Linked DNA regions of Struthio camelus. The protein of the gene in region 1 purifies or fractionates together with the protein of each later gene. This does not show direct contact. Links are inferred from orthologs where the notes say so. Each region holds a gene or a part of one and is shown in the gene's direction. Other genes may lie near its edges.

Region 1 (16,281 bases):
TAGACCTTGCTTTAAGTTGATTGCGGTTAGACTGCTTCTGGCCTAGATATAGGAAGAGGGTTGTTAAAGGAAGAGAGATGCAATGTTCAATCAAGTTCTGAACCACTTGTGTTCAGATAAATTCTGTTTCTTGAGAAAGAAAGATGTTTTCATTTGATTCTAGAGGTATTAATGCAGGCTATGCCTGAAATGTAGGCTACTATTTTGTTCCTGTTTTGCTAGAATTTCAATTTCGTTACGTTCATTTCTGCTACTGGAAACCTGACGGGTTAGCTTTGTTCTATTGGCTTAAGAACTAGTTGGCATTTCATTTTTCGATTTTTCAGTAGTTTAAGATGTTATTCCGCGGTGTCTAAGGTTTTCCGTAATTTGTCCTTCTCAGACTGGGGAAACTTCTAACGGTATTCTTTCCGTCTTCCTCACAAACTTGCTGTGATCTTGGATGAATCCATTAACCAGCCTAGAAAGCCTTTGTCTGAACTCTGGCCTGGGAGGGGTGTTCTATATAGCCATGTATAACTCCTAGGGAGGCTATAGAAAAGGCTCTCTTTTTAGGGAGGCTATAGAAAGAGGCTTTGATTTCCTCTCCCTGCTGCCCCACACCTTTCACTCATAGGAAGTATTCATGACACCTTTCTGACTTCATTTTTTTTCCCCATTACAGTGCTAATGTGAGTGTGCTCTGATAAGTACCCCTCCCTTGAATTTCACAGGCAGTCACTCTGAACTGTGCGCACAGCTTCTGCTCCTACTGTATTAATGAGTGGACGAAACGTAAAGTGGAGTGCCCTATCTGCAGGCAAGAGATTAAATCGAAGACACGCTCTCTGGTGCTGGACAACTGCATTGACAGGATGGTAGAAAAACTGGATGCGGAAATGAAAGACCGTCGCCTTGCCCTTATCAGAGAGCGGAAAGGTGAGAGGTGGGTGGATGTGGCATGACGAGTACACTCTCTCTTTCCATATATTTTGTAGAAGTTTCTTTGGCACCTATATACTACAAAGATGCTCAAGAAAAGCAGAAGCAGTATTGGAAAATGACCTTGTATTTGTGTATGAGGCTTAATATCCCTTATTGGTAGATTCATCAGAAATTAAGATTGGGAAATAATTTTAAGGTGTACTGTACAACTAGCTTAACTATACAGTAAATTAAAATGAATAAAAAGTCTAGAAAAAGACTTCAGTGTCAATTCAGCAGTCCAGTGGGATGACTTAACTATACTGAAGGTTACGCTGTTTTGAAGAGATCTCTAAAGAAAAGTAAAACCATACAGAGCGGGCCTTGAAAAATTTACCAGATGCCTTCTGATTGATTAAACTATTGACTACATCAGTTTGAAAACTAGCAGAGCAATGCCTGGTGAGAAACTCAGAATTCTCTTGTATGTCTTAGGTATACCTAGGAGATCTGTGAAGGGAACGTTGGTCTGTCATGTAAGCGTGTGGCGGAACTGGTCATTGATCTCCCTTATGAGCTGTTGTTGAATTTACCACTGTGACTCGAACACACAACCTCTTGCCTAGTTGTAGCTAAAAGGCTCTTTATGACTGTAAGGGCTCTAAGCAAAATTCCAATATGGGGTATTCCTGTTCTTCTTCCATCTTGCAAATTGTTTTCTAGAGCACTCAACGCTGGTATCTAGGTGCTGAAATGTAGAAGTCTTTTTCCTACTACCCGCCTCTTAACAAATTTCTGTTACTGTATTCCCTTAAGTAACTGTGTTGTTTTCCCCATGTAGAGGTGAGTGCATGATCTTTTATTTGCAAAGTCAAGCCCTTTGAAGACCTTCCTAATGAAAGGTGCTTTCGAAATATTGCAGATCCTCCATGGTGACGTAGAATGACATCGTTAAACAGTGTCAGTTCTAACCTGAATTCATCACCTATTTAACCAACTCAGTCTGATTCCCTCAGGAAATGCTACACTTCTCAGAGTCTGTCCAGCCCTGCTTCATGGATTGCTTTCACCTCTGCAGAACTGACACTGCTCTTGCATAATATGCACCTCTGCAGAGTATGCCATAGCACTGTTGAAGTGTCTCATCTGGTAGCTAATGGTGGTTGGATGAAGTGGTGCCTTCATTGGAACCCACTTCATTTCCATATGGTAAACCAGTGATCTTCCTGCTTGTTTGTGATAGACACTCTAATTATATATAATGATTATTAGTAAGAATTCATATAGTTTCACCATGATACGCTTCAGGGGGAAGGATGAATTGTTTCCATGTGGTTGTCTTATTCAGTGATGGACACATCTTGAATAAGGTGAAGGTAGCCATATGTCTAGTTAGACATACACTCCTAAGAAGAAACCAGCTGTAAGATGGGCTGAAAAGGAAACGATGGTGCAGGTAGTACTTTGGAAGCACAGCCAGATAATGAGCTTTAGTATAACAGACACCCTGGGACAATTTGTACTCTTTATGTGGAGGTCTTGATGGGTCCTTAAGGGTGTCCTGAAAAAAGGCTACTTAAGTTTGAGGGCCCTTTATCACATTTTGTTCCTTCCCCCTTTCTTACCTGGCAAGACCCTGTATTAGCCAGCCACTTCCTTGCTATTTGTGCACCAGTGAAGGGATGCTGGATGTCTCCTTGTCACCTGTGCTATCTTAACAGGAAAAGACATATGGGAAATTAAAAGAACAACTTGGGAAGTTTTTAAAGCTGAAAATTGAGGGGAAAAAAAAAAAGAACATGGGATGCAGCTTGAAAGACCTATTGCAAACTGACAATAGGAAACTTTAAGTCTCAAAGAGAACTAGTAATTTAGCGGTGTGTGCGAGTAGAATGGCTGTCTGCTAATTTTTCTATCCATGTGTTTTGAATGCAGAGAAACGGAATGTGTTGGTGAACCTAGCCACGGACAATGACAACACTGTCATTTCCTCCATCTACTCCGTCTTGTCGACGAGGAGTTGTGACAATGAGAACTCTGAGGAGGATTCTTACCGTGATGATAGCTACTACATTATCTAAACATTGCTACTGCAGACTGATTTGCCTGCATGCTGCCCAGAATGAACGTAATGGTGTTTGGTTTACTACTGCTGGATGACTGGACTGGACAACTGGAAGTAGAGATTCTGTAAGGAGGCTGGAGCTTAGAACTAGCAAGCACTTGCAAGAAGGATCTTATTTTTTTTAAATGAACGTACAGAAGCTTGATCTCCAAAGCAAAATTGGGATTGCAGGAGAAAAAACTTGCGTCATGCTAGGTGGCTGACGTGCAAAACGTAGGCTTCCGTGATCATTTGTGACCTACTCAGCTGGTATAATGTATTAGTTTGTATGTATCACTGCCCTTTCCTGGGTGAATGAACTGTTTAAATGCGTGCATCATTTTTCCCGTATTTCAGCCAGCAGATGGAACGGCCCAGGTTATTTGAGAACTTAGTCATCTCCACCAGCAGACAGCAGAGGTATACCAGAAAAAAGTGCCATTGTGGGTTTTCCTCTTGAATTTTGTATGGCAGCTGGAGCTATCCAGGCTTCCCTGGCAGTAGAGGTAATAGTCCTTTTAAGGGGTAGTTATGGACCCTGTCAGGCTTCAATGCCTTGAATGCATTGTAAGCTGAGCTGCTGAGAAGTGAAAATGAGAACGTTTCTCGCTTTCTGTTGGGTAGGGATGGAGAAGATTGCATCATCTAGAAGTTCCTAGCTATTGCTATTTTCATCTAACATCTTTAGTTTGTTCCCTCTTCAGACTTTTGCATAAAGTGTTTTAGAAATGGGAAGCAGCACATCCAGAAATTATTAGCAATGACTTTAGTTACACGTTTAGTTCTTGCCAGCCGCAGAGAGGAACCTCAGTCTCTTCAGAAGCGCTGCTTTTTGAATTAATGAAATGTCCTGTTGATAGGGTGGGAAAGCAGCGTTTGTAGGCAACCACATGGCACAGAGGGGAGCGTTTTGTTTTATTGTTTACAAAATATTGCTGTTGAGCTGTGGTGTATACTACCCTCACAGCAAATTGGTCATGCCTAAGAGGCTGAGCAAGACTTGCCTCATCCTGTCAAGGACTGCGTGCGAAGTTCCATTTTCAGTGGCCTCTACTTCTGACTTAGGTGTTAGTGGAAAGGACCATTTTGCCACTGCGAGAAAGGGATGGGGGAAAACCCTTCTGATCTGTAATTTCTTTGGCCATTTGTATGTACTTTCTTGTTTTTATGTTTCTCCTGTTTAAGGAAGAAAATATAAACCCATTTCTGCATTAGTCTTCCTTGGTGCAACCGCTGAGACAAACATCTTTCTCCTAGTTATCTTAGAATTTTCAAGAGAACCCAGATTGTCTCATTTTAATGGCTCTGTTTGTGTAATGTTTTGATTGCTCTAAGCAGTTTTAGTGTTTGACTGTTTTTAATTTTGAAAGACTTACGTGTTCAGGAATTGATAAAAGACATCCCAGGTCTTCAGCCCTGTGCTAGCAGTGGCCACTCTAACGGTAATTTAGTAGATAAAATCACACCTCTTTATCTCCTCCTTCTAAAGAAGGATCTCCTTAAAAAGGCAGTGAGGTAAATGAAGGATGATGCTGTCCTAAGCAAGTAGCGCGTTCTGATAGCGTTCATTTGCTTGTTTGATTGGTATGACTTAAACGATGAAGAAATATCTGATCTGTGGGCCAGGCAACTTTGTTAAAATCTTAGTATAAGGTTTCTCTTGTGGAGCAGCTATTACACCTTGAGACTTCCTTTTCTCCTTTTAATATCTGTGTTCTATATGGGGTCTTGGAAGTTTCTGTTAGTGAATATATGCTCTCTAGAATATCTGTGAGAAGAAGGTTCCACAAAATGTTTGTGAAATATCCTGGCATTGGTGTAAGGCCTTCCTGTTGAAGTGGAGTAGAAGGAAAATACTCTGGTTACCTACAACTGCAAATTCTTCTACTGTATCTCTCTTCCATGTTGCTGTGCTTTTTTTGCTTCTTTCATTTTGCTAAATATATTTATTTTGTTATGTCAGTGTTTATATGTACTGTAGAAAGGAATAATGCTTCTCCTAGTTAGAGTAGTCCTTCAGTGTGTGCCTACTAAGTGTGTCGTCCCCTTTTCACTCGAATATAAAGAACATAAGCAGCATACTAAAACTTTTCCGCTGTTATCAGAGGGTGCATAGGGTGCAAAGCTCCAAGGAGAGAGGCTAAGTAGGAACGCTGCTTACTTGTCATAGCATTTCACTGACAAAAGCGGTCTTCCTCAGGAAGACTGTTACTGGACACAGAGCTGCTCACTAGACATACAGAAATGTCAGGTGAAGTTGCAGCTGTTGCCCTTCTGGACATCCATACCGCTCCTGCTGTGGTCTCCTGAGGTCTAAGGTCTGGGTCCTTTCTTCTGTTTACAGTTAATGACTAGAACCTTGTAGGGTCTAAAACAATTGTGCTAGCTGTTTGGCCCTAAATCAGATTTTCCCTCTTGGGGCAGACCAAAAGCAAAGGAAGATCTGGAAAACAAATAACGCAATGTAACCAAGGACTGAAAATGAGTTGAATTGCAAGCTTTTAATTGACTTCCAAGTTAAACACAGGGAACATGGGGAAAGTGGGAATGAGTCTAGGTTATTCAATTCCTTCATACTCAGGGTGTGTGCTTATGTGTGTATGTATGTATGTGAAATGAAGTAAGGCTAAAGGTAACAAGCAACCATTCAGTCAGCACGTCTCTAGTCAGAGGAAGGTCAGAAAAAGAATTTATTTTCCATTGAATGGCATATCAGTAACCAGCAAATGAGCTAAGAAAGCCAGTGCTGTTTTTATCTAAATCTTTATCTAAATCAAGATTGATTTTAATCAAATGGCTTATACAATGCTGGTGACCAGGGAGAAAAACAGTAGGCCACTGGCTAGAGTTTTGAAAGAATGGATTAGAGAGTACTTAGATTAGATGTTTTCAAATAATGAGGCAAGGTGAAATCAATCATAGAATACTTTGAGTGATCTCAGAATTTTTACAATTCTCTGAGAATCGGAGGACAGATAAGGTACTAGAATACTGAAAATAGATGCTGTACCTTTGAAAAGAAGGGAAAGGCAGAGATGAATTGTAGACCTGTGAGCTGAACTTGAGTTCTTTCTCCTACCCTCCATATCCACGCATTATTAAAAAAACTTTTTTATAAGCACATAGACAAGATGATGAATGATAAGAATACTCCACTACTCTCTTTGTCAAGAACAAAACGTGCTAAAATAATATTACTTTGATGGAGAAGTTAGGAGAAACTGTAAGTACCTTAGCTTTTTGTATACTTTTTGATACTGTGTCTCATAAGGAAGCTGTGTAAGGGTAATCTAAGTGAGACTAAGGTCTGTTCAAAACCAACCACAAATCAGTGGTGGTAAAAGGATTTAAAGCGGAGATGTGTCTTTCTCTTCCCTCCCCCCATGTGGTTCACTGTGAACAAACACATAAGTTTCTATGCTTGTGTAGGAGCAGTCAAATACAGACTGTGAACAAATTTGCCAGATAGCAGTTACGCAGAAAGGGATGAGAAAGAGTGTTACATTGACAATATGCTGCTGCTGTAAAAAAGTAGGTATCTGTATACATAAATGAGGATAAGTTGTGTACTGTTGGGTGTTTCTTCTTGTCTGCTCAGCATTGGTAAGACTGAGCAGCAGTAGTACTGTGCCTGATCTTAAGGACTATGTCTCGAAATAGATGTAGACCAACTGGCAAAACAACAACAGATCTGAGGTTCAAGAAACATCACCCCATGTGAGAAGGATTTAAGCAATTCCAGTCGTCTTTCCAAAAAAAGGGGAAAACTGAAGAAGTCGTGAGTCTCCAAATAAATCAAAAGCTGTTTCAAAGAGGAAGGGACTAGGACAAGAAGTGATGGAATTTAAAGTCACAGTAAGGAGATTTCCTGAAAGTGTTGTTTTTGGGGTTTTTTTTGTTGTTTTTTTTTCCCTTCCCCCCCCCCCCCCCCCAAAAGCCTGTATGATCAGATCAGGCAAACACCCATAGTATCAAGAGTTTTCCTCCCACCCTGTAAAAAAAAAAAAAAAAAAAAAAAAAAACCCGTGGCGTGTGAAGTACTTCTCTTTTGCTTTCAAAGAAGTTCAATCTGTGCCCTGCAGTGTACTGTATAATTTCTAAAGGTGCTGTCTTTACGCCACTGGAAACTATCTTTGGATCCATGAACTGAGAAATGCTGGGTTTGGATATAGTTGACATAGTTTTGGGGAAGAGGGAAATAGTAGGTGACTTCCTTAAGGCCCCTTTTTCTTGGATTTGTTGATACAGGCCATTTTCTTCCCCCCTCCAGGAAGGAATGCCTGGTAAAAAGGCTGTTCTTGAATTCACTGCCCGAACTGAAGTCACTTGGTTGGCTTCTTCCTTCTGAGTAAGTGATACTGTCAGGTGTGTTGGACCTTCACTGGTGACAGCTGTGTGCATTTGCAACTGCTACAGATTCTACACATAGTTTCAAGGTGGACATATCCTCCAGAGAAGGACGGAGGTTACAGAGGAGTGATTCAGTTCTTTTTTTGGTGGTGCTACTGCTGCAACTTTAAGATTGATCCTGCTTCTCTGAGTTCCATGAGGAAGATAGATATATATGGAACTTGTTTGAGGTGAGTCCTAAATTCCTATTAAAGACCGGCAAAGCCCTTAGATGGGAATTGCTATTGCAAGACGCAATACTACTTCCTTGTATAATAATGGTTTAAGTATAAACTTCTAGTACAGCATGTAAACCTAGCACAAATTCTTTTCTTCCTTTACAAAAAACTAAAGAATTTTAACTTGCAAATGAATTTGGAAGAGAATCAAACTTCAGTCAGTATAAATGGTGTATGAATAAGACAGCTGTGTCTGGTTTCCTGCCCCCCCCCCAAACAATCTAAGAACCTTTCTTATTGTTACTTGGTTAAGGGAATCCAGATATCTAGCTTTTGCTTTATAAAAGGAACGTACAATGAAATGTAATGAACCTCTTATGAAGGACTCCTTGTGTACATGCCTAATGGTCCTGAGGCCTGGGTTAGCTGCGCTGTAGTTTTCCTTCTTCTGAATGCCCACTTGCAGATGTCATGCCCTGAATTGTTCCTGTCTTGGGATGGCATCGAGCACTACTCATCTCCCATCCAAGATGAGGTTACAACTCTGAGCTAATCACAGCTGATCCACAGCAGGCTTGATGCAGGTTCAAGACGTGCTGTTCTGTCTTTCGGGAGATAGTTGTCGTGCAGTGTGATGATAAAACGTGTTCAAAGCAATGTATTGCTTCTTGACATGAAGCAAGAATAACTGGGAAAGGACTTGAATGCATTCGGGTATGGGACCATCCTGGGTGAGATGGTTCTTTGTTTAAACCTCCTGCTGTAGATGCTGTTGAGTGCAAGAGGTGTCTGGCAAAGGCTTTTCTCTTGCACGTATTATTATTTAACCTTGCAGATCAGGTAAACGCCGAGGCATAGGCTGCTTGCGAGAAACCTCGCGCCGCTCGTAGCAGCGATGACGTTTCCGGCGCGCACCTCAGCGCAAGGGGCAGGAGCGCAGCTGTTTTGCACAGCACCCAACGGGTGGTACCTGCGGCCGGGGCAGGCTGCCAGCGAGGGCTCCTTCAGAAGCACGCAAAGCAGGGGTGCTTATGCAGGCGTCTAGCGCTTCAGCCGACGTTTTAGATGTACACAATTTATATAGATTAGAAATGTATACATGTTTTCTGAATTTGTATAAATTTATAAATATGAGATAAACTGAAGATTAAGAAAATTAGATAAATATTAAGTTTATTAACAAATATAAGTCTATATTAAAACAATTACATTTTCATTCCCCCAGGGGGGAGGGGTAGGGAGGACCGCGGCGCCGCTCGCCGCCGCTCGGCCGGGCAGTGGGCGTTGCTTAGCGACCGGGGGCCTTTGCGGGGGCGAGAGCCGGGGCTACTTCCGGGTTGCGGGCTGTCCGTGGCGCGCCTGCGGGACGGGCCCCTCGGCGGCCGCGGCGGCGCGGCCGGCGCTTGCGTCACTGGCGCGCGCCGGCGGGCTGAGAGGCCCCGCGGGAGGGGGCGGGCCGGGGGCGGCGGCGGCGGCGCCTCAGAGCGGGGAAACGAAAGTGCGGGCGGCGCCGGGCTGGGTTCCCGCCGCCGCCGCCGCTGCTGCCGAGGGGCCGGCGGGGGGCGGTGCGGCCGGCCCGCTGCCCTCTCTCTTCCGTGAGTGCCGCCGCGGCCGCCCGGCTCAGGCCTCCGCCGGCCTCGGCGCGCTTCTCGGCGGGGGCTCCGCCGGGCGCGGCCTGCGGCTGCCGCAGCCTCCCGAGGGCGGCGGGGTGCCGGGCTCCGGGAAGCGCTAGCGGCTGCCGGCAGTTAGCGAAGAGCCCCCGCCGCTAGGTAGCGGCGGCGTCGCGCAGGCTTGTCCTGCCGGGGCTCCTCCGGCGGAGTCCGCTTGCGGCCGCTCGCGGTGGTCTGCGGGAAGCTGCGTTACGTAAGTGGCAGCAGCCCCTGGAAAGGCCGGGAGCGACCCAGAGCGCGTTATGTAAAACCGCGAGGGGACTGACTGCGGAACAGGTGCCGCAGCGCTGCTGCCTGCACACCCTGACAGCCTCGGTGAGCGACACGGTTAGGCACCGACGAGGTTTTTGAGCTAATGATTTCCGTGCCTGAAAGGGTGCCCCACGTTGGCTAGCGTGGTGAATTAATGGTGTTATTTGAAACTTTCAAGAGCTGGCAAAAGTGAGTAGTAATAAGGAGGTGCTTCCTTTCAAGAGGAGCTTGATGAGTTTGAGGGCTCATTTTCGTTGGCTAGCCCCATTCCACCCTGTAGACAGAGAGCGATGGGTGAGATGTACCTCTGGTTTGAATTAAAGCATCCCTCTTTATGGGTTAGAGGGCATAGGTGTGCATGTGGCTGATGGCTGAATTCAGCTCTACTTTTTCTAGCTTATGCTGTTCTTAAGAACAGGTGCAAGTCTTGGGGCATTGACTCAAATTAAGTGGGGTAATGTCACCTCGTACGTCTCCTGTAGTTTAGCTTTCAGTTTAATTGTGCACGCTTTTAAATCCAAGAGGAAAACAGGGGTGCTGATGGACCGTTAGTATGATTAGGAGGGTGGAGATCTTGAGAGGGAACTAGAAGGAATGAGCTAAGAGTTTGTTAATCAAACAAGACAACATCTGAGAAGAAATAGAATTGCTCTCTCAGCACATGGAAGATACTTAGCTTTCTTCCTTCCTTAGTTATTAAGCCAGGGGTCTATATTTGCACGAGAACAGATAAGCATGATTTGGCTGTGAGTGAACTTCTGGTGGAGGTGAAAAGATTTCTTAGGCACAGTGCAATGAAGTTCTGGGGTGGTCTTCCAGTCAGAGTCATGGGGATGAATACAGGAACTGATTTTAAGATGGAGCTCTGTAAGTTTGTGGAAATAAGTTTGATGACACAGGGTTAGAGTCAGAAACTTGGGGCACTTTTTCTAGTCCGGCGTTCATATGTAGAATAATAAATGTTAATTGTTTTTTAATCATTTGTCACCAATAGCAAGAAAGTTTAGCTAGTGCTGCAATCATCTGTGCCGGTTTATTTTCACCTGTTTTCCTATTTCTTGGCACATCTCTGTGAGCCTTCCCACCTAGGTCCTATTAGCTTAGCCTTGAGTGTTACTTCTTTCTCTGAATTTATGTGAAATTTATCTGGCACATCCAGAAACTTGATATCATGCCAGTGATGTCTGATGGTAAAAGCAAACAAATAGAAAAAATCAACCAAAAAAACCTCAAGAACCTTGAGTGTTTGTATTTAATAAAGTTTTGTTGTAGAATTAATGTGGAAAAGCTCATTTTGTAATTAATATTTGCATGGGCGAGGTCAGAGGTGTTGTGATCCTCTTGTGAGAAATGGATTCCACCTTGTGTGTTCCCCATTAGATTGATCTTACTTCCTGGTTTTTTGTGTTTGGGTAGAGTGAATCTTTGATTCAGTAGTAATAATTGACTGTTGTATTTTTAAGTTACGTAAGTGCTGAAACCTTGGTTCTCTTCAGCTGCTAGCATTTAATGGTGACTAGGTTGTAGAAGTGATTCTGAATTCAAGTCATTGGCAGTAGGGAAACTTCTGTATAGTTTTCCTGTTTGGTTAGTTAAACCGACTATTAAATAGGTGGTATCAAAAAAATCCAGTGCGTTTACCTAAAGGAAACTTAAGTTGAGAAGTGTATCACTGAATGGTCCATAAAATAATCTATGCCACAGTGCTGCTGGTATGAGACCTTCACCTTACCCTTCAGCGAGCAGGAGGAAAGTTAACTTGCTTAATGTTTTCTAAGTGTGATTTATTTTTATTTTTTTCTTTCAGTAAAAATGAAGAGAAGGGCAGAGCCAGAATTTAGCAGCCCGCAAAAGAAGCAGAAGAAGAGGATAGAAGACTTGGGATTAACCCTCAGTTCTACTTCAGATGATGAAACTCAATTTAGTAATCATATGACTCAAGGTAAGGTTGGAGATAGCGTGTGTATCACTGCAGGGAATCTGACTAACAGCTAGGAGCTGAACCTACATCTCCTCAATCCCAATTGGGCTTCAAAGGGCATATTTTCTCTTTAGGGTAAAAACAGCATTATTTATGTTCACAAACTTGAACTTACGTGTTTTTTTTTAAGCTTTTTAAACGTTTATTGGACTCTTTTTTTTTTTTTTTTCCCCCTTCTGAAGTCTCGTGCAGACACTTTAATCTGGGAATTATATGAATTCAGATATAGAAAATAAAAATTGGAGGTAGATGACCGAATACATGGTCCAATATCTGTAAAGATTCCAGTTATAAATTAGCAGCGTTGGTCTTTTCAGTCTCAGTGGATTTTTTGTTTTGGAAGCTTTCACTAGTGCGTAGTTGTTTGTGGCGTGCGGTATGTGGTGTGCGGTAATGAAACATCGCAATCTCCCTTTGTGAGAACAATTAAGTAACATTATTCCATTTTTTGCAGATGGGATGAATTGAGGTGCGTACAAAGGGTGGGTTGATTGGGGTTCCTAGGTTGTAACACCATCTCTCTCGCCCATTCAATGTGACTTTTCTGTAAGAGTTGTGAGAGCTCACAGGTGCTTGATTTCACATATTAAAAATGGTTTAGAATTAACTGTATTAGTTTTCTACCTTTTCCCAAGTTGGGTGTGCTTTCTCACCTTGGGCTTGGAATACGCAATTGCTATTCCTGTTGCAAGGTGCTTTAAACACTCCCGGGATGGCGCTTCACGCTGCCATATGCTCACACCTGTTACTTTTGAGTCTTTGAGATTTCCCATGGTAATAAAGTGATAGTGAGATGGGTTCTGGGCACAGGATTTTGGGACAGTGGAAGGCGGATGGGGGTGGAAGATGTATGGGTCGACTTGACTGGGAATAGGCACAATGAGCGGTCATGTATGTATCAATGATCTGTCATGTATGTGTATGCGTTTGGCAAAACCGGAGGTAAATGGGGAAGTTAGATTTGTGGGGTGTGAGAGTTGGTAGGGAATGCTGTGTGCGCTCAGGGCTGGGCTAAAAATTTCAAACCAATATTTGTTTTCCTCTTTTTTCCCCTTTTATGGTTATTTAGTTCAGTTATGGGTCAAAATAGGCTATGAATCTTAATGTTTATGAAACAAGTTGATACTGCTCAACGAAAACGTTTTGGATAGTCTAAATTGTTTGGTATTGTATTACACCCATTGAGGTTTCAGATGAAAGCAAGGTTGGCAAAAAGAAATAGTTTGAGATTTGATCTCATTGTTTGCCTAGGAAATGTTAAAAACAACAAGAATTGTGAGGGAACTTCCTTGAGATTTATGTAGTAGATGTTGTGTTTGAGGCACGTAATAAGCCTCTGGAAAATAAAAAACAACTCAAAATCCAGTAACAGAGCTGATTGAAGGTGTGGGTTGGGGAAGCAGAGAGCCGTAACTGGCTCTAAAGCAAAATCCTTTGTGATCCTCTTCATCTCTAAGAACTCTGAAGGAAGCAGAAATGTAGCTTCCTTGACGAATTTTTTGAAAAGTGAGATGGGCCTAAAATATTGGTAACACCAGCTATGTCATAGCCTTCCGTATCTTCAGCTGTAAGGTTGATATTGTAAATTTTTGCATGTTAGTTGAAGGGTTGCAAGACTTGAATCTTAAAGGCTCCATTCTCTGAACTGATAGTGCAGTTACAAGATTGATCAGGCATTGAAGAGATTTTAACTATGATTAGGTATTTCACTGCTGTCTCTTTCACTTTTTTGGCTCTTGTGATGGCCTTTCTACAGTTGTTTCCTGTTACTTGATGAAATTCAGTTATTTGTAATGTGAAAAATAGCGATCTGTCAGTTGGGAGAGAAAGACGCTGTGTTTTCTCTGAAATCAGAAAAACTTAAGAAAAGCTGAAGCCTTCTTTGCTGGTAATTTTGTCTCTCTCTTCATACTTCTGTGCAGCTTTTCCTTTTTAAGCGATAAACAGAATAAAGATGTGCTCTGCTAACCGCAATTTTCTGCAGTGTCTTAAGGAAACTTGTATAGTTCAATCTCTCCTAGTTGTATGAAGTAGCACAGAATGTTTTCTAACACTCATCGAACAAGGAAGGCTCAAGAGATGAAGGTCCATTAAAGAGCATGGCTAAGCCTGCAGTGAACTGCTGTTCCAGTAGTCTTTATGGACTACCCGGCAGCACTAACTTAGTGCGACTGCTGTGATGCTAGACATGTTTCAGGGAGGAAATTCATGCTATTCCGTCATTCTTATAGTGGCTTTTCAGCAAAAAAGGGGGAAGGACTCAGTGGGCTGTTAGCAGCAGCTGGTTCCTGCCGCCCCTTTCTCAGTCAGCCAGAGCGCTGCCTTTCTAGCCTGGAGCTTCCTGGTTTTGGATAAACTGCAGTTTGAAGGTTGGTGGGTTTTGTTGTTGGTTTTTTTGTTTGTGTGGATTTGTGCGTGTGGTGTGTGCTGTTGTTTTTGTTGTTGTTGTTTTTTGCTTCATCTTACCTTAAGGATGGATTTTGTGGGGCCAAGGTAAATCGCTTGTAAGAGAGGTCTACGTTAGTTTGTCTAGTATAACCACATGGAGCACCTGCTGGGATTAGGCTTTACATGGTTTTAGCAACCTTCTATATGTGTCACTAGAGCTAGTTGAGCCTAAGTGTTCAGCTTGCTCTGCACTGGGGCCATGAGCGTTTGTGATAATCTGGTGCAAATATCCTTAATGCAGTCGTGGCCTGGATAGTTTTGATTAGGGCGTTGGGGGAAGGTGCATACCAAACTACTTTCAATAAGGGAACGGCATTAGTTTTAGTGTGTTATGGATTTTATTGAAAAGGTTTATTTTTTTTATTCTTATTTCTGGAAAACCTTGAATGCATCTTTCCAGTTATCTCTTGCACCAGGCGAGAATCCCATGTGTTTCCTCAGACTGCTCAACATGCATCAAGCATGGTTACTTTTCCTGAGGAAGGGACAGAGACTCTCCATCCCCTCTGTGAGGAAGGGCTGGTGGTCGTGACTCCATCCTACTCCAATTCTGTAACGGTCTTGCTACTCTGGTAGAGGATTCTCTTTGAGAGATTTACTACTCTGTTTTTGCTGGAATTTGTGCCTTACCCTGCTTCCTTCATTTTGCTGAAGATGATGCCACACCTGGGTGTATCAGTAGAATCTAACCAGCTAAGGTACCTGTGCTGCTTGAAGCTGCAGTCCTATGCAGCATATGTGCAGGGTAAAGAATCAGACATATACTGACCTGCTGTTGTGATAGAAGGAAACCAGAAGCTTTAAGGTTAGCCCTTTCAGAGTAACTTTTGGGAAATCTTAATAGCATGGTTTTGCTCTAGAACGTAGCAAAGTGGAGCGAAGAAGTGGTTATTTATTTAGTGTTTCTAAACTGTGGCCCTCCGATCATTAGTGGTCCATAGCAGATCCATGTTACTATATTAAACTGTTTTCAGTTAAGAGCTTGCAAAAATGGGTAGCTTGCCAAAAGGCATGTTGGGGATAGCCAGTTGAGTTTCAGAAACACTGAATGTACTCGTAGATCCACAACGTTAATGATGAGTTGTCTCTATCCTTCTACGTTATTTGTAGGTTAAACCTTTGCCTGAAAGACTTATAGGGTGAGTAATGCCTGTGCAAAATTGATGTCTTCTAACCTTACCTTTCACTTGGATTTGTATGCCTCAGTAAACTTCTCTGGAGGTGAAAAACTGTCTCATTTTCTGTAGTGAACTTGGGGATCACACTACTGAAGTGGGTAATTGAGTCAAAGTGAAGTTTATTATGGGAACTAAAAGGGCTTAAATCTTCTGTTCTTTCTGCAGTATTAGTCATTTGGTGCATGTCTGTGTTTTGTGATGTGAATTTGTGCTTAGGTCAGGGAATGCGTTCACTCCTGTAGCTGGATAGGAAAATGAGGAGAATCCAGTATGACTGAATAATTATTGTTATGCTCAGGAGAGAATCTTCATGGGCTTTCTCAGCTGCCCGAGATCATTTGAAAGGTCAGATGCACTCTAATGTGCCATGATGGTCATGCTGTGGCCTTTTCTGCCGCTCTGATAGCGTTTGCCAGGCCTTTTGGAGTGTTTGAAATCCAGGTGTCTAAAATGCGTGTTACTGGCTGAGAGAAATTGTATGCATCCTTGAGACAACGGAATGTTAACCATTCAGTAGAATACAGTAGGTTACCAAGTACTGGCTCCAGATAATATTTATATTGCACCTGCATACTTCCTGTAACACATCTGAGATACTGAAGCATCCTGTCTGCCTCTGTGCTCGTTGAGAGGATTGGTAAGTCACACTTCAAACTTCTTGATGTGGTTACTGAGATGCTTTGCTTCCATTTTCTTCTCATTTTCATGTTCACTTCTCCCTCTCTTTTGTTTTCAGAGTCTTCCAGTAGCAGCAGTGGGTCTGATAGTGAGAGCGATGAAAAAAGACCAGTCTTCAGCAATGAGTTCAAGCAAGACTCTCTCGTGGAGGGTACTTCATCCCGCTACTCTATGTATAACAGTGTCTCCCAAAAGCTCATGGTAGGTCAAAATAGTTTTGTATGAGACTATTAAAACCTGATGAGTGCGTGAGGGCAAAGTGAAAAGACCAGTCTATTTTAAGAGATTTTCCCTATGTTTACCATTGAATTTTGCATGCCCGTAACGTCTCTCTCATTAGCAGTTCTGGCTGCAGCAAGGCCAATCAGTGATGATTTTATACCTTGTTAATTACAAGCCTGAAACTGTAGAGAGTGTAACCTTCCCTTCTTGCAAGGGAGACCTCTGCGCATATAATGGTATTTTCCATTCAAGTCCAAGTCAGCCTTTCACTGCACAT
Region 2 (15,920 bases), on another chromosome or scaffold:
CCAGGGAGCATCCAGGCCATGGGCACGAGCAGAACTGGATGATTTTGTGAATGCATGATTGCTAGGACAGAATATGTCTTTAAAACTTCATGCTGGAATAAATTAGCCTTTTCTATACTGACCCTATGAAATAGAACACATTTCAGAAAAATTAAGTCAGGAGATCTATTTGAAAGCACTAACACTGGTCTCAATCTTAACTATCATGGAGCTGGTATAGAAAAGTGATTTGTTGTTAAGATATGATAAAGTAGATTATGAACATATCTGTTAGCTATTTCTCAGTATCAACTACTGAGAACATTTTAATTCAGTAGTATTAATCACCACGGCATTAGCCAGTGGTAGCAATTAGTCTCAGTTAGAATAAAGATGGGAGGTGCTGTGGTTACAAATAAAGCTAGCACAGGATATCTGAAAAATAGGCACTGGTTATTGTTCAATGGTATTTTTAAAGCACAAAGCAGAAAAACATTCCTAGATCCATCCTGGGAATTTTAATACATTATTACCTTTAGTTTCCTAGCAAAGTCCCTCTGCTGGACTATCCTAATCCTCCCAACAAAGCAGTTTATGAGTGCTCCCTAACTCATTTCTGTCCAAATGAGAGAGGTTAGCTCGAAATAGTCTAAATATCAGCTCTTTTTTAATGTGGCTTATTTGACAAAAGTAGATCAGGAGAGTTTATAAAAACTACACCTGTGGGAGAACTTTAGGGTTATAGCATGTGTAGGAGGGATATTAGAACTGCCTGTTGTATGCGTGCCTATCAATAAACGAGCAACAGCGGAGCTGCCCATATCTTGTTCTAGATTTTCCATTTTCTTAAAGAGTCCAAATAAATCTACTACTAAAAAAATGAGCACATAAGAGTCTCATTTGACACAATATCTTCCACAAAATCCATGGTGTTTCAGCCAGATTTTCCTACTTTAATCTACCCATAGATTAACATGTTTTGTTGCAGCCAATATTTTTCAGAGAGTGTTTTGTACTGAAGACTCAGTTCTTACCCTATTCCTCTCCCACATATAATGCTTAGCAGCATTTTTTTTTTTTTTTTTTTTTTTTACAGTGAAGGAAATTCTCTAGGACTCTTTGCTACAAAATTGCTCCAAGGTATTAATTCATTTCCGCTAGAATTTAGGGAAAAATAAACCTAATGTCAAATATCTGCATATTTCTGCACCAATTGCTGAATAAGTAAATTTCTAAGAATAGCTATTATTATTCATGTACGTGTATCCAAATTCAGCTAGAAGGTCACCTAAAAGTAGGATCAATCAACTAGTACAGAAAAACATATATAGAAAAAATTAGCTTTTATGAGAAAATATATAATTCTTTGGTCCTGATCCTCCAAAGACATATTGAAGTGCTGAACTTTATTCACTGTGAGCAGTGTCAGGCTGTTAAGTGACGTGGATTTTTTTCAGGGGAACTGGCAGCTGACACAGTGTCCTGTCTCCGATTGCTTGTCCGTGCCCCTCTGCTGCTCCATCTGTTATCCTTGTTAGGAAACCAAACAAGCTAAGAAACTGCTTTTACTTTGTTGTTGCTAGGCTATTTTTTAGGCATATCAATTTCACAGCCTGATGCACTGCATGTCTACCCAAACAACCATGCCATAACAAGGGACAGGGTACTGCAGAGATGAGGATGAGCAGTCAGGATTGGGAAGGTCAGGGGCTGTTTAGACAGTGCTGCAGCACAATGTCTCACCACAGCATCATTTACTTCCATGAAACTACTTGCTGCATATCAAAAATAACATAAGACTGGGCGCTGTATTATATATTGCGTGCACCATTGTATAGACAGAAGCTACTTCAAAAAAAAAGTTGTTAAAATTGCAGAAGGAAGCACTTATTTACAAAGGACCTGTGGCAAGCTTAATTCTGCCTCTCTTCTTATTGTAGTAGTTCTCTTACACATTCATAGAAAACAGAAAGACTTTAAAGCAGTGTTGCTTTGTTTAGGCCCTGTAGGCTGTATACGACCTAAAAAAGATGACTCCCAGCCATATTCTTCTCTGGAGGCATCTCCTACAGCAAGGAAACGTTCACTCTCGTGGTACAAGGCAGGGTCCAAGGAAACTTGAGGCCTGAAAGTGGGCTGCTGCCTTCTGAACAAGTTATTTGAATTGCAGTCCAGGTCCAAGATCCATTGTGTCAACAGTGTACTTCTCAACTATCAGTGTGCTATCAACTATCTTGCTTCCCAGTATTATTCAGATTTGGGCAGAAAGCAAGCACTTGCATGATAAATCCAACCTGTACATGTATAAATCAACTACACTATGCATCGAGAGCAGATCCAGTTATAAGACAAAGAAGAGGCTCACCTTTGCCAAAGGCAGAAGTTGCACAGCCAACAAGGTCACCGCTATACTGAGTACAAAGAAGAACTTCATGGAATATGAGAGAGTAGACAGTTCTTTCAATTAATCCAGATGTAGCTGATAGGATTTAAAAAAATGCTATGAGTGTAGAGTGTAGAGTTCCTCTTGTTTTCAGTTGAGAGACAGGTTGCTCAGCATCTCTTCAAAGGGAGTCACTGGCTGGAGTATTCTATCAGTTCCTTTGTTTTTGCAAGAAGGAGCAGCTTTAGCAGCACCCTGTGCTTTCCTTTTGGGAACCCGCTCACCAATTACAGAGAAGGATATGATTACAGGGTATGCTATGTAATCTAATAGCAACAACAACAACAACAAACTTGGCCAAATGTCTGCTCTTAACTCCTTTAAGGGTTCTTCTACAGTTTTCAGATTATACTAAAATTATTATTCCCAGCTGTGATGCAGTGATGACACACTAAAAAATGACCTCACAAGGCCTGGGCTTTATGGTAATAAGCCATCAAAAAGAGGAGGTTACAATCCATTTTGACACAGCTGGATAAATTTAAATCCAATTTCAGTGCTTTCATTGGCTGTGAGGACTGTTCTGCAAGGGGACTTTTAACACAGTTGGTTAGAAAAAACCCTGATTGTCTGGGAGAAGAATAAGGAAGCTAAATTGTTGAAAAACTTGGCCCAGCTGGGCAAGCTATGGAAGTTGCTGTTTATAGTTTGCTACATCGTGTTTCTAGGATATGATGGATTTTTATTCTGTATGGTTCTCTACTGCTACTATTTTGTTATATAGTCTGGGGCTTATTATGAAGATAAGGACTAGCTGTTAACACTTTGTACATTAATAACCCATCAAGTAGAGGTTATTACGTCACCTATTTCGCACCTCAGGAGCTTTTGTGATTTTTACTTTTTGGAACTTTGTATATTCTATACAGGCAATAGAAACTAAGCCAATAACAAGTGTCTTACACTTACACATATACTCAGCGTGAAGCTGTACCACTGGTAGATCCAGCATGCCTAACCTTACGCATGGATATGAGTGTTTTATAGACTGTATTAAAAGAGAGGACTTTTAAAAAGTCTTAAGGAGCTAACTCAATAGTGAATAAAAGATGATTGTACTGAATACAAAAGGAATGAAAAGTATATACCAAGATAATGCATTTTTTCCCTTTGTGGACATGAAATACTTGCAAAGAAAAAGCAAGAAAGAATCAAACTTTCACAAAAGAAGTGCTCCTACCAAAACATGTAAATTCAATGTAGAATCAATGTAAATTAGATATATAATCTAGTTTACTCAGTGATGATATTTTGCGTTTATGCCATCACTTCAGCTTAAATTCAGAGTGCTTAAAATTCAAAGTACTTAACAAACATCTACTCTTGCAAGGTTTCTTTGAGTGGACTAAAGGTGACCTAAGGTCTTAGCAAATGACTGAGAGCGGTAGGATAGCAGGCAGTTGTAGGCAACAATATCTTTCCTTTTAGAGAATGGGTTTTTTTTTTCAAAAGTGAATTGTCCCTCCGGTTGAAGTTCTAAGAGATACAGCTACTTTTAAAAACACTTCTTAAATAACATTAGAGAATGTGCACTTTATAGTTCAGGCTGCAGGGAAGGGCGGGTTAAAATTCAGCATTTTACTTTCTTATGTCTTTACTTGGTGGTGTCTCTTTCTGTTGCACCCATCCAGTGCACAGTCTTAATTTTCTCAGAAGACTTCAGGTACTTGGTTACATTTTTTCTCTTTGTAATGCTACCCAACTAAGATAGAGGGGATGCCATTGGGCTGGTGACCTGGCATCTATCCCTTTATGAAGAGATGCATATTCCTCCTTGGTGAATGAGGTATGGTAGCTTACCTGAGTCATTTGCTTCTGGTGTTTAAGGTAGCTTTGATAGCCGGAAGTGATTTTTCCCATCTGTGCTTGCACAGTGATTGCAAACTCTCTCTCTTTTTTTTCCTTCTTTGTGAAACACTACTAAAATCATCCTGACCTTTTTGACCTCCAAACTGAATTGATGTGATGTGTTCTATATGGGATGATGTTTGATGACCGTTCACAAATTTCAGACAGTATCTTACTGCTGATAAAGTCAGCTGTCATGGCAGTGCTGCTAGCTTCCTAAAGTGTACTTCTCAGAGTAATTCAAAGTTGATTTATATATATTTGAAGTGTTGCAAAGTTTAGTTTCTGTAATTACATAGAAGCTACCTCTTTTCTTCACTGCAGAAACTGAGATCATTTGATGTATTCATTTTCATATTTTTAAATTTGAAAAATTTGGAAGTCTGAGGTCTTTAAACATACTCTGATTATGGGCTCTTGTCTGAAGTATTCTTCTGCTGATATGACAGAACCTAAGGATAAGCTCCATTTACTCACATTAGGCTTGGGTGGGGGGAGGGCAGAAGAAGAGCTTGTCTGTAATGGGTGTTTGTATTTAAGGCTCCTGGGTATTTTACTAGGGGCGTTACCCATGTATATATTTATTTTTTAAAGCAGATTGCAGTGACAATTATCAGGACTACTTCCAGGTTTAATATTTTAAAATTAGTTTGCAGGAACTTCTTTAATATTATGTGTTATAGATTTTTTAAAAGATGGGTTAGGCTTTTAGTTGTTTTTAAAAAGCAAACCATAAATAAAAGTACTGGCAGAGTAAGTGCTGCTATAGCATAGGGAGCGTACAGCCTGTAGCTTTGAGCCTACCTCCAGCCAGCCATACAAGAAATATATACTGCAGAGGTTGTAGGGGTCTAACACTCAAGCTTTAGCAGACTGAACCTCCCTTAGCTGTCTGCCCTGCGATCCTGCTCGTTACTACTGCCAGCATTGCAGCAGCGAAAGAATAAGATGTGTGGATTCACTTCAGTTGCCTGTTTTGGCTTAAACCACTGAGGAAGGTATATTTCTACTGAAATGCTAGACTGGATATATCATATTTTCCTGCCCTTTGTAGACTTGGCAATCTCTAGCAAATGAGTGAAACAATTAGCTAGCGGCAGTAATATCTGAAATTGTGACACCTAAATCTGCCACACTTCTCTGTCAGAAACCGCACTGGTTCCAAAGTAGGTCTCTGATATAAAGCTTGTCTAAGACTCACGATTAGTCTTCCGGGGTGAACGCAATGCACAATCAGAATAATATAATATTTTAGAGATAACATTATTTTCCTAAGTCACTGTATCAGTTTTAGACGTTAATGCTCCTTCCAACCCAAATAGCACAGTAAGTATGCCCACGCTCAAAGCACTCTTCTCACTGGAAATTGCCTAAGAAGATTTTGATACCAAGGAGCATGCATTGTTTAGCTAGGGTAATAGATGGAGAGTTAAAGAATAAATGGTCAAATGGCAACTAATATAAGCATCTCTTGTTTCAGTAATCTAAGATTTTCATTCTTATAGATGAATATGAAAGACTTCTCAGGGAAAAAAAAACAAACTTGCATTTAACAAATGCCTTTGAAAAGGCAGAAAATGTGCTTAAATGTGCCCTATTTTACACATTCCTTTCATCCTTTAGGAATTTAATGCTTATCACTTTGTCATTATGTGTTTCCTGATCATTTTTTTTCCTACTGTCTCATCTTATATTTAGACTGTGATCCTGTAAACACTTACCTACATGCTTAATTTTGCTACTCTTAGTAATCTCTTTGAAGTCAAAAGGATTATTTGCATTAGTAAAATAAGGCATGTGTGTGCTTGCAGGATGAAGGCCTTAGATTGCAAACTCTTTGGGATAAGACCAGATTATTTATTATGCAGTCATACAGCTCAAAGCACAGTTGAGTGGAGGTTCTGTTCAGGTAGCTTGGAAATACGTTAATACATAGATAATTAGTACGTGGGATATCAGCCTGGGCATAGCAGTCTAGTATTTGCTGACCCCAGCTGACACACTGGATCTTTCTCCCTTCTTTTTGCACTTGCTGGGGAGATTCGGCCACAAGATCATTTTCAGGCTGTCATATCTGCTGAGACTTCCTCTTGTACCGCCTTCTAAAGCAGAATCTTGCCCTGGTGTTGGCAGCGTGGTAACTTGCAGCAACACCTTGAGTGGCTTTATGCTGCTGTTCATAGGGAGATGCTGTGCATAATCAAGATGTGGAAGAGTTGCTGTCTTCCGAGAACCACATAGCGCTGCACAGTGGTAGCTGCTCATCCCATCTAATACATATAATGCTTTCCTCTTCCTCTCTTTTTCCATTTTCCAGGGAGACACAGCCACTGCATTGTTTTTTGGCTCCCTTCTCTGATAAGCTAATTGTCTTCTCCTCGGACACTCTATCTCAGTAATCGTTTGTTTAAGACAGCCATCATTTAAAAGCCACTTTGTGAGATGTGTAGAAAGCCTTCCCTAGCTGCATTCTGTGAACACAGCTCTGTATTCTACCAGAGCACCTCAGATAATCTTGATATTTGGGATAGAGACTACTGTAATACTTATCCTCTGGCAGCCTCTAAAATAGGTTCCTCTTTCATTTTTTTGTAATGTAACTTGGAAAATGACTCCTGGCTTTGCACGCAAAACTCGAGATCAAGGTCCAAGAAATATTTATTTCAGTTGATAATGCTAAGCAGGAAAATGGTATTTTCATTATAGTGGTCTCTAGAACTCTAGCAGAGATCAGGATACCATTTTGTCATATTATCCAAAATTAGGAACAGGAATGCTCTTCTACTAAAGAATATACGGCAAGAACTAACTATTTTAGTAGTTATTCTGATAGAACTCCAGAAAATCTTCGGGACATGAAGCTATGGATAAACATTCCCTTGCTGAGCTAGCTGTACTACTAGGTCACTGCTGCTGGATGCTCCTTTCTGACCACTGCCAGGTTTGCTAGCAGAGCTGTTATGTGAATGCTCCCTTGCCCTCATAGTCAGATAGCGTTAACAAAGATTTAGTATTTAAAATATCTGAACTATTCTGACTGCTTTTGACCAAAATGACTGGGGAGTGCTCATGCAAGTAGTTCAGTAATGGTTGTAGTAATCTCTGGCAAGAAGGTTGTGAAGGGCAACGGGGAGCAAGACTTGCAAAGCACATGTCTTTCAACACTTGTCTAGGTGGAAAGCTATACCAATAGCAGTGCTTTCAAACTGCATCTTAAAACTACTACTGATCTAAAATATGAAGTTAAATCTCTAGGAAGGTGCTGGGGGAGCGTGAGATAGGGCAGGACGAGTGGAGATGGTGTCCAGCAAGTGATGTTATCTCTAGATAGTGACTGGATATATCAAGAATTGTACCTCTTAACGAAGCTAGAGTTAAGAAGTTAGAGATGGGCTTTTATGAGCTATGGTAAAGTATCAAGGGACTGCACTTGAAAGCTGCTGAGACCTAGCGCTGAGATAGAGCAGGAATGGCTTGAAGGAAGTGGGTGTGTGGGAGCAGAGGTGGGTCAGTCAAGCACTGAGTGTGCTTCTACCAGCATGGGGGCAGCCTGCTTTCTGATGCCTTGGTTGTTACAGGCCTCTCAATGTTTGCCTGACTCCACCTTCTCCTGCCCAGGCTCATCTGTGCCTGCAGTTAGAGTACAAATTCTGTATGTGTGGATGGTTAACCCAGTTCTTAAAAAGTGTGTGTGCAGGCTAGCAGGTGAGGAACACAGTTCAGGGGCACAAGAAACAAGTCTCTTGGAGCAGGCCTGAGCTACAGGCTTCTGCTGGCACTTCTGCCAGTGAAAAGTAATCATTACAGCTACGTGCAAAAATCTGTAACTATACCGAGAAAATAGCATTTTCACTCGTGTGTTATTTTGGTTTTAGGATTTGTTCTACTAAATGCCAGTGTAGCTGTGCTCACCCTTAGAAAACTTTGTCACAGCAGACAGGTCCTCTGGGGTTTGTATTGCAAACATGGGATTTCCTTGTACTGTATCTTCTTGCACAGACACCAAAGACAAAGCACAAGAGAAAGTGGCAGAAACTAGCAACTCTGTTTCTGGGTCTCTGAATGGCACTTGGACTTTTCTCCCAAAACATACTTCTAGTAATACCTACCTTTGATGTCTGAGTAGTTAAAGATGTGAAGTAGTAAATAGTATGTGCTTTTATAGCTTGCAGTTTAGATGCCACCGGTTTTCTAATCATTTCTGCTACTGCAGATGGCATGTGAAGGATCATACTCTTCCCCACCCAATGCTAGGGAAGTCTGTGGCAGCCTAAAATAGGTGTTTGCCAATACAGTTATCTGGTTTAAACACCCTCCCGGGAAACGCCTGTCCCAGGGCACGCGCGCCCACAGGGGCACGACCGGCTGGGAAACGAGTTTTGCTCTCAGGGCATCAGCAGCAGCACCCGGGCTGCCGGACCCTAACAGGGCGCTGGAGCCGCTCTGATGAGCTAGGGAAGGCGCCTGGGCCGCCCAGGCAACGCTCTCCGCCGTTTCACCGGCAGCGGGGAGGCCGGACGCCGCTCGCAGCGCCGAGCCGCGGCCGTTGCCCCGCGGCAGCCGTTAGAGCGCCGCGGCCGGGGGCGGGGGTGGGGCCGGGGCGGCCGTTGCAGGCGGACCCGCCGCGCGCGCGCCCGCGCCCGCCCCGCCCTCTCCCTTTCCGCGGGCGCGCGGCGGCTCGCGCCAGTGTCTCGCGCAGCCCCGGCGCTTCCTTCCGGCCGCCATTTTAGTTGGTGTGCCTGGCCTCGCGGCGCCGCCGCTGCTGCTGCTCGAGGAGCGGAGAGCGCCCCGCCGCACCCAGCCCCGGCCGCCCTCCCGCCGCATCGCGCGGCCGCCCGCCCGCCCGTTCCTCCGGCCGGCCGCCGCCGCCATGTCCAAGCGCCACCGCCTAGACCTGGGAGACGACTACACCTCCAGCAAGAAACGCGCCGCCGACGGGTGAGGGACGGCGAGGCCCGGGCCGCGCGGCCTGCGGCGGGTGGGAGATTACGGCGGCTCCCGCGTAATCGTCTGCCCGTCCTCGGCTCTGGCCGTTCCCCGCGGGGCTGGGCCGCCTCGGGTCGCGGGGCGGCCGCGGTGGGAGGTGGAAGGAGGGGTTGAGGCAGCGGAGGCCGCATGGCGGACCCCCCGCGCCGCCGCCTCGTCTGGGCAGGCCCGGGAGCCTCGGCGGCTCCCTCTGAGCTCTGGCCCTAGGCCCAGGGTCGGCCTTTCTGGCGGGACCGGGCCCCTCGGCGGGACGGGGGGGCGGATGGCGGCAGGGTGATGGCAGGGAGCGGGCGGGGAGGGCCTCGTGCGGCGGTGCTGGGAGGGGGAAAGAGAGGAAGCCGCAGGCCTAGCCGCTTGGGCGAGCTGGGTTGGGCTCGCGTCGCGGCGGAGCCGGGGGCGGCGCGCTGCTCGGCCCGCTCCCCAGCGCCCGGCTTTGTGTGCGCCTCTTTCATCTCTCCTCCTTTCTCTGTTTCTCTGTTTTTTTTTTTTTCGTATGTCTCACCCTCTTTCCCTCCCTCTGCCCCTGTTTGTTTGTATCCTCCCGTCTGTGGCTTGAGGGGTCTGGCCAGTCTGGTCCTAGAGGTCAGCGTGAGGCTTGTTCAGCCTGTGTAACTAGTACCTAAGCTGGCAGAAACATTATTCCTTTGTTAACAGCTTTAACTCAGTAACCAACAGGTGAATGGCAGATTTAAACTAAAAGTCGGTGTGGGGTGGGTTTTTTGGGGAGGAGGGAAAGGAAGTTATAACTCCCTCCCCTAAACTGCAGGAACTCGAACAGTGGGCTCGTGCTGTCCTTTCGTACACAGTGGTTTCAGTGCCTCCACTGAATCTCCTTTTGCCCCACTTCTGTGGGGGACTCTTAAAACAGACTTCTGGAATGTAAAGGGCCAGAAAAAAGTATTCTGTTTTATCTGTCTGTTCTTTTGGTGGTGCCCAGAAGACTTTCCTGAATTAATTCTTTCCTAAAGTCCAGCATCATTGTTTTGGGCTATGACATTTATCCTAGAAAAATAAATGCCTTACATTGTTTACAAAACTGGTGATTGTTAAAAATCAGCCACAGCAGTTAGTGTTCATTGATAAACTGTCTTTGCTGTTGAAATAGAACTTGCATTTTCTTTAAGTGTGAACTTGAGTAGCTTGAATTTTTAGCTACTAGAGTTTGATATATTTTCATCAGCTAAAGTGAAGTGATTGTTTTTATTGAACATCTGTTTATGTATGTAGGATCACCATAATCTATTTTTTTTTTAATGAAATGGATTGAGCAGCTTACCTCAAGGTGTGTTCCCCTGATTTTTCAAAAGCTAGTATAGCTCTTTGTGCATGCAGAGAGTCATACATATACAGTTTTTTTGTATATACAGATTTTTGTAACATCTTGAAATGGTGACGCCAAAACTTGGCATAATTTGAACCTAGTACAATTGATATTGTTGTGTAGATGATCGTTATTAGTGTTTCCTAGTTTGTATGTTGTAGGGTTGTGGGTTTTGGTTTTTTGTTTTTTGTTTTATTTTTGGTACTATTTTTATTGAGTATCACTATCACTCTGAAGCCATAGTCTTCCCATTTGGTATATGCTATAATTGGTTCCCAGCAGTGGTATAACTTTTTTACCACAAGTGTTTGATCTTTATTACACCTTTAAAAAAAAAAAAAACCCTATATAAGCTCTGGTTTTGTGCTCCTTTTGCCAACAAAAGCATTAAATGGCATGAGACCAAGAACCAGTTGCTATAAGCAGAATTATTGAGTATGATTATTACTTGAGATCTTAATTCATCTAACACATGCCATACTAATCTTACATTGTCCTGATTTATCCATAGGGTTGTTAAGTTTTACAGGTTATAGAGGGCTAAGGGATATGCAGAGAGTTTCTTGTTAATAGCATGTATTTACATATCTTCTGTGCAGAGAGCACCTTTATGCAATGTAGTTGATTTTAGAACTGGATTAAGCTAAATTTGAAGTGGCATGTATTCAGGGAGCTAATACAGAAATAGTGATTGTACCTTACTGACTATCTAACTGTAATCTAAATATTGTATCAAGATACCCTGTATTTTTTTACCTCCTTTTTAATTGAGGTCACGTACTAATATGTGCACTTTTGCATGGGAGTGCTGTCAGGCCAATAGGCTTGTAGTCGCCCATGTAAACTTCTTGAGTATGGGCGCAATATCTATTTTCTTTCAGCCTTTATGTATCACTGTTGAACAAAAAAAACTTCTTGAAATATGTGAATTGTATGGGAAGTCTCTGGTTACAATGTTGCTATGTAAAGTATGTTAGTGTCTAAATCTGCTAATTTTTTTCTAAGCTACTTCAGTAGCTGCATAATATCAGAGTGCTTGTGTGAGTGGGATGTATCACTCTGACTTACTATACCTTCTGTTTTCATACATACAGAACAGAATTTCTCTTTTAACTCTGTTTTTTTTTTTTTTTTGGATGAACTGCAGACTTTTGCAAGTGTCTTTTTAGTAATGAAAGAATAATAGTAATGTTCTATTAGAAATGTTTAGGCTATTTAACAGTGATTTGTGGTTTCACCTTATGTCCTGTGTTTCTCTTTTTGGTTTAAGTGCTTTTCATCTTATGACTTAGTGACTGTTATGTTTCTTTTGTATCTGTATGTATATGTATGTATTAAATATGTGAAAGCTGATAGGTGAGACTGCTTACAAAAAAAATTGGTTATGGAATTGGAGTTTGTGAGCAAGATGAATTAGATTAAATCAAAATCAGGCTTCTCTAAGATGATGAAGAGTAAGTTAAACGTGACCGTTCTTAAATGAAGAATTATCAAGTTGCATTTTACAGGAGGTTCAGTAAGTTCATATGACACCTTAACATGTCCAGTATATATCTCACCAAAGTCTGAGTGATCACTCCTCAAAAGATATGAGCTAGAATTCAGTTTTGTACTTTAGTCATTAAAATGCTCATCTGGAAGCACTCTTTCACTTACTTCGAACTTGTCAGTGATGAGGAAGCAGGCAGCATCTTTTTGGAACAGAACATCATTCCCCTTTTCCATGGTTGATCCCAGAAGTCTGGATGTGTCTGCCAAGTTTTAGTAATACCAAGAGGAGATTGGGAAGCCCTTTTAGGATAAAAAGTGCTGCTGTAGAACAAACCAATAAATGACCAATGAATGTTAGAGAGTAAATTTGAGGGCATGTTGTATGTCATGTTTTTCTGTGCTGACATGTAGTTGCCACATTTCTATCTTTCTTAAACCTTTTTGAAACAATAAAGAAAAAACAACTCCCTTGGTTAACCTCTAATTAGAGTTTTTGCCTTCTGAGATGTAAATAAAACTTGATAAGTTTGTTTTCTTAAATGCGGGATTGGGCAGCTGTAAGTTAAATGAAGTAACAGAAATGGAGGATTAACAAGACTTTCAATTCTGGATCATATTTGTAGTTTATTTACTGCAGCTCAGTGTTCTTGAGATAATATCTATACTTTAAACCCACACAAGTCACTGCCATCACAAAAGACGACAGGGCTGCCCCCTCTCTTTTCATGCTGTAAGCTTGTGGGAGATTAGATTAGAGAACTGATCTATATTAGAATTAGTTTTAGTGGAGATGGACTAGGAAGGGCTTGTTTTCTACAGGGCCACTGAAGTGCTGCTGTGAACACAAGGATAAAGTTGGCAACAGAGGATGGGTCTTTTTGTTTTGTTACTGGTGCTGGCTTATGCATTTTGAAACATATGTGAAGATAAACTCATCTGCTCTGTAGAAGTTTCTGACATAGAATTGTTTACCTAGTTAGTGAATAGTCTGCTTCTGAAGGAATTTTGTTGCTAACTTCATTGGTGTCTAGTCATGGTGTAAAAACCATTGTTATGTCTTGTTCTCTTTCTACCTTTCTGTCAGTGAAGTATGTACTGTTATCAGTACTGTTATTGTATTTTGTCCTGGTTTTACTGTACTTAAATTGCTTTTTATAACCTTTATTTCCTTTTCTTATTATGCTGTTACTGTCTTGTCACACTTTTTTATGTCAATATCTTCTGATATTTAAAAATGCTGATTATTAATAGCTGATTAACTTAAAAAATCTAAAACTTGATCCGTTTGTCTGTTATCGTTAGACTCTTCCACCCTGAACTGTAGTATTATGGCAATTAGTTTCTTCAGTTTGTAACAGGGGTAACTTACCTCTAGCAGAGTATAAGACCCTACCAGGTTCTGCAATACTTGGCTGCCATTTTAATGTAAACAGAGATTTCTAGCTTTTACAGTATTTGACAGTGTTAGAACTATGCTGAGGCTATGGAGTTTGACTCAAGCAAAAGATGCAAACGAGCCTTTTTAAAATTATTATTTTTAATTTTTTTAGGTAGTTCAGTGTCCCAAAGACTTAGGAAAGTCTATGAAAAGTGAACTAGGACAGTGACAATCAGCAGTGCATTTTGTTACCCTCCTTTCTTCTCAGCTGGGTCTATGTTAAAAGAAGTGTTTTTAGAAATATGAAACAAAATAATAGCTATTAATTATGACAGCCCCTGAAGCCATAGTATGTCAAACTGAGCTTGGTTTTTGGTCTTGCTTGCGTGCCTGTCAGTCTGGAATAGCTCAGTTAAGTCATGGGGTTATACTGGGAAAGAACATCCATACAGTCTGCCTACATTACGTTCATTTTTACAAGAACAAGAATGTTAGTCCTCCTTGATGTCTAGCACATTTTGAATTAGAATTTATAAAATCAATAATAATATAAATTGTTCTTGGCTGCATCACCTTTCCTATAGGTAGGTGTTCGCATATTAGCTCACTGATTGCATGCTTTGCAAGTTCACACTTAAAAAGCCTTGTGGAGAAGTGTGGTGTTCAGCAGCTTTCACTCTTGCTTTTAGGTGTGTCTGAGAGCTGGTGAAGAAGTGGACGTTTCTTACTACTAATCTTTTGATTTATACGTGTGTAAAATTAGTGAGGTTTTTTTATTTAGTGGGATATAACTGCTGAAGTATTGGGAAGTTTTGAATTTTATTAAAAGCATGTAGCAACAGTTCTTTGGGTAAAACTGGAGACTTCTTGCGAGTGTTTCTGTGTTTAGTAGGGAAAGTGTAATTACATGCAAAACCAAGTATGTGGAATTGCAAAAGCAAAGTGCAACTAAGATTGAGGCTAGAGATTGAATTTGGACTGGATAACTATAGTGAAAATAACACTGTTTCTCTCTTGCAAGTGCAATGAACTTTTTTGGACTTCAGCTTTGGAAGAAAGTATACTTCATGTTCCTGGTAGCAATAATAGGCAACTTCAAGATTACTTGAGGTTTAATGTGAATTATTTCCCCTTGACGTGTTTGTTTACTAGGTTCGTTTTGGCTTTGCAGTTTATTCTTAATTTAGATAAAAATGAGCCAAATACTTCCAGTTTCAGATTTGCTGGAGTGTAATTACTTTTTGTGTATGTGTGTTTTTTTAAGTTTGTGTCTCTCTGCTATGGTGAGGAGGTGAGGTATTTATATAGCTTCTTACATTGTTTTTTTTTTTTGTGCAACTTGCTGACAGCTGTTTAGGTAACAGAGTTTTACAAATCATGTAATTGTAACTATGTGACTGCTACTGTTTAAGACTTGGCAACAAAAAAAATACATAAATGCTGGTTGCTTCTAAGTGTGTGGTAGGAGGTGATATCAAAGAAGGCAGTACAACTGAAGTGACTGGCTTTAAGTCTGAGTTTCAGACTCTGCAACCTGCAAATCAAAATTAATTGAGTCACTGTGTAACGGGTGACTTTGAGCACATAAAACTACAAACTCATTGTGGGATGTAAGAATCAAACTTCTCTCTTGGGGCTCGTAGATCATCTTGAGTTACAGTTCCTGCAGTTGTCAAAATTCTGTTGCTAGGTGGGCAAAAAGAGTATTTACTGTGTTTTTTTATTTTTCTGCAGCAATAGCAAATAGGGATGGGAGGAACTCTGAGAAGTTGAGGATGCGTAGCTGATTCTTGATAATAAGTGAACAAGATCAAGACGATGCTCTTTTCATGTGAATGCTTGCTTTAATCTTGCCTATACTGAGAGGAACTATGGCAGTACTTCTGTACAATGAGTGCAACTACTTTGTGTAGCTGACATTCAGTATGTGTCATATAATGTTATTCGTTCTCTGCTTATCCTTTCTTGTAGCTGCTTGCAAGGCTGTTTAAGTATTTGATATATATCCACTTTATATTATAAACCTTGAAGTCTGTTTTTTAGTTAGATTCCTACTCTGCATTTAAATGTTCTAGTATCTCATTTTCTGCTGTATTTCCTAACTTACTTTAGGAAAGATCGAGACCGGGACAGGGACCGTGACGACCGTTCTAAAGATCGTGATAGGGATCGGGACAGAGACAGAGATCGCGACAGAGAAAGGGACAAGGAAAAGGATTTGCGACCTACATCAAATTCTACATATTTTGCTGCTGCTGGGCTACAACCTATAAAAACAGCAATGATTCCACACAGTATTAACCCTTTCACAAATCTACCACATACACCTCGATATTATGACATACTGAAGAAACGGCTACAACTCCCTGTCTGGGAATATAAAGAAAGATTTACAGATATTTTGATTAGGCATCAGTCATTTGTACTGGTTGGAGAGACTGGGTCTGGTAAAACAACACAGGTGAGTGCTTACC

What was found.
Region 2: the proteins of CMTR1 (region 1) and DHX15 purify together in Homo sapiens (co-immunoprecipitation; 3 studies listed by BioGRID and IntAct, with this or other methods). This does not show direct contact. The link is inferred for Struthio camelus from reciprocal best matches to the Homo sapiens genes CMTR1 and DHX15.

Annotation. Positions count from the first base shown.
Region 1 is NC_090944.1:104,622,669-104,638,949, forward strand, and holds the start of CMTR1 (cap-specific mRNA (nucleoside-2'-O-)-methyltransferase 1), read left to right. Parts: upstream 1-9,044; 5' UTR 9,045-9,170; intron 9,171-9,182; exon of another isoform or gene 9,183-9,560; intron 9,561-9,569; exon of another isoform or gene 9,570-9,686; intron 9,687-11,304; 5' UTR 11,305-11,309; coding exon 11,310-11,439; intron 11,440-15,840; coding exon 15,841-15,983; intron 15,984-16,281. Other genes in the region: E3 ubiquitin-protein ligase RNF8, read left to right, coding at 714-918, 2,839-2,984. UniProt on the Homo sapiens protein: S-adenosyl-L-methionine-dependent methyltransferase that mediates mRNA cap1 2'-O-ribose methylation to the 5'-cap structure of mRNAs.
Region 2 is NC_090945.1:67,268,684-67,284,603, forward strand, and holds the start of DHX15 (ATP-dependent RNA helicase DHX15), read left to right. Parts: upstream 1-8,867; 5' UTR 8,868-9,140; coding exon 9,141-9,208; intron 9,209-15,558; coding exon 15,559-15,907; intron 15,908-15,920.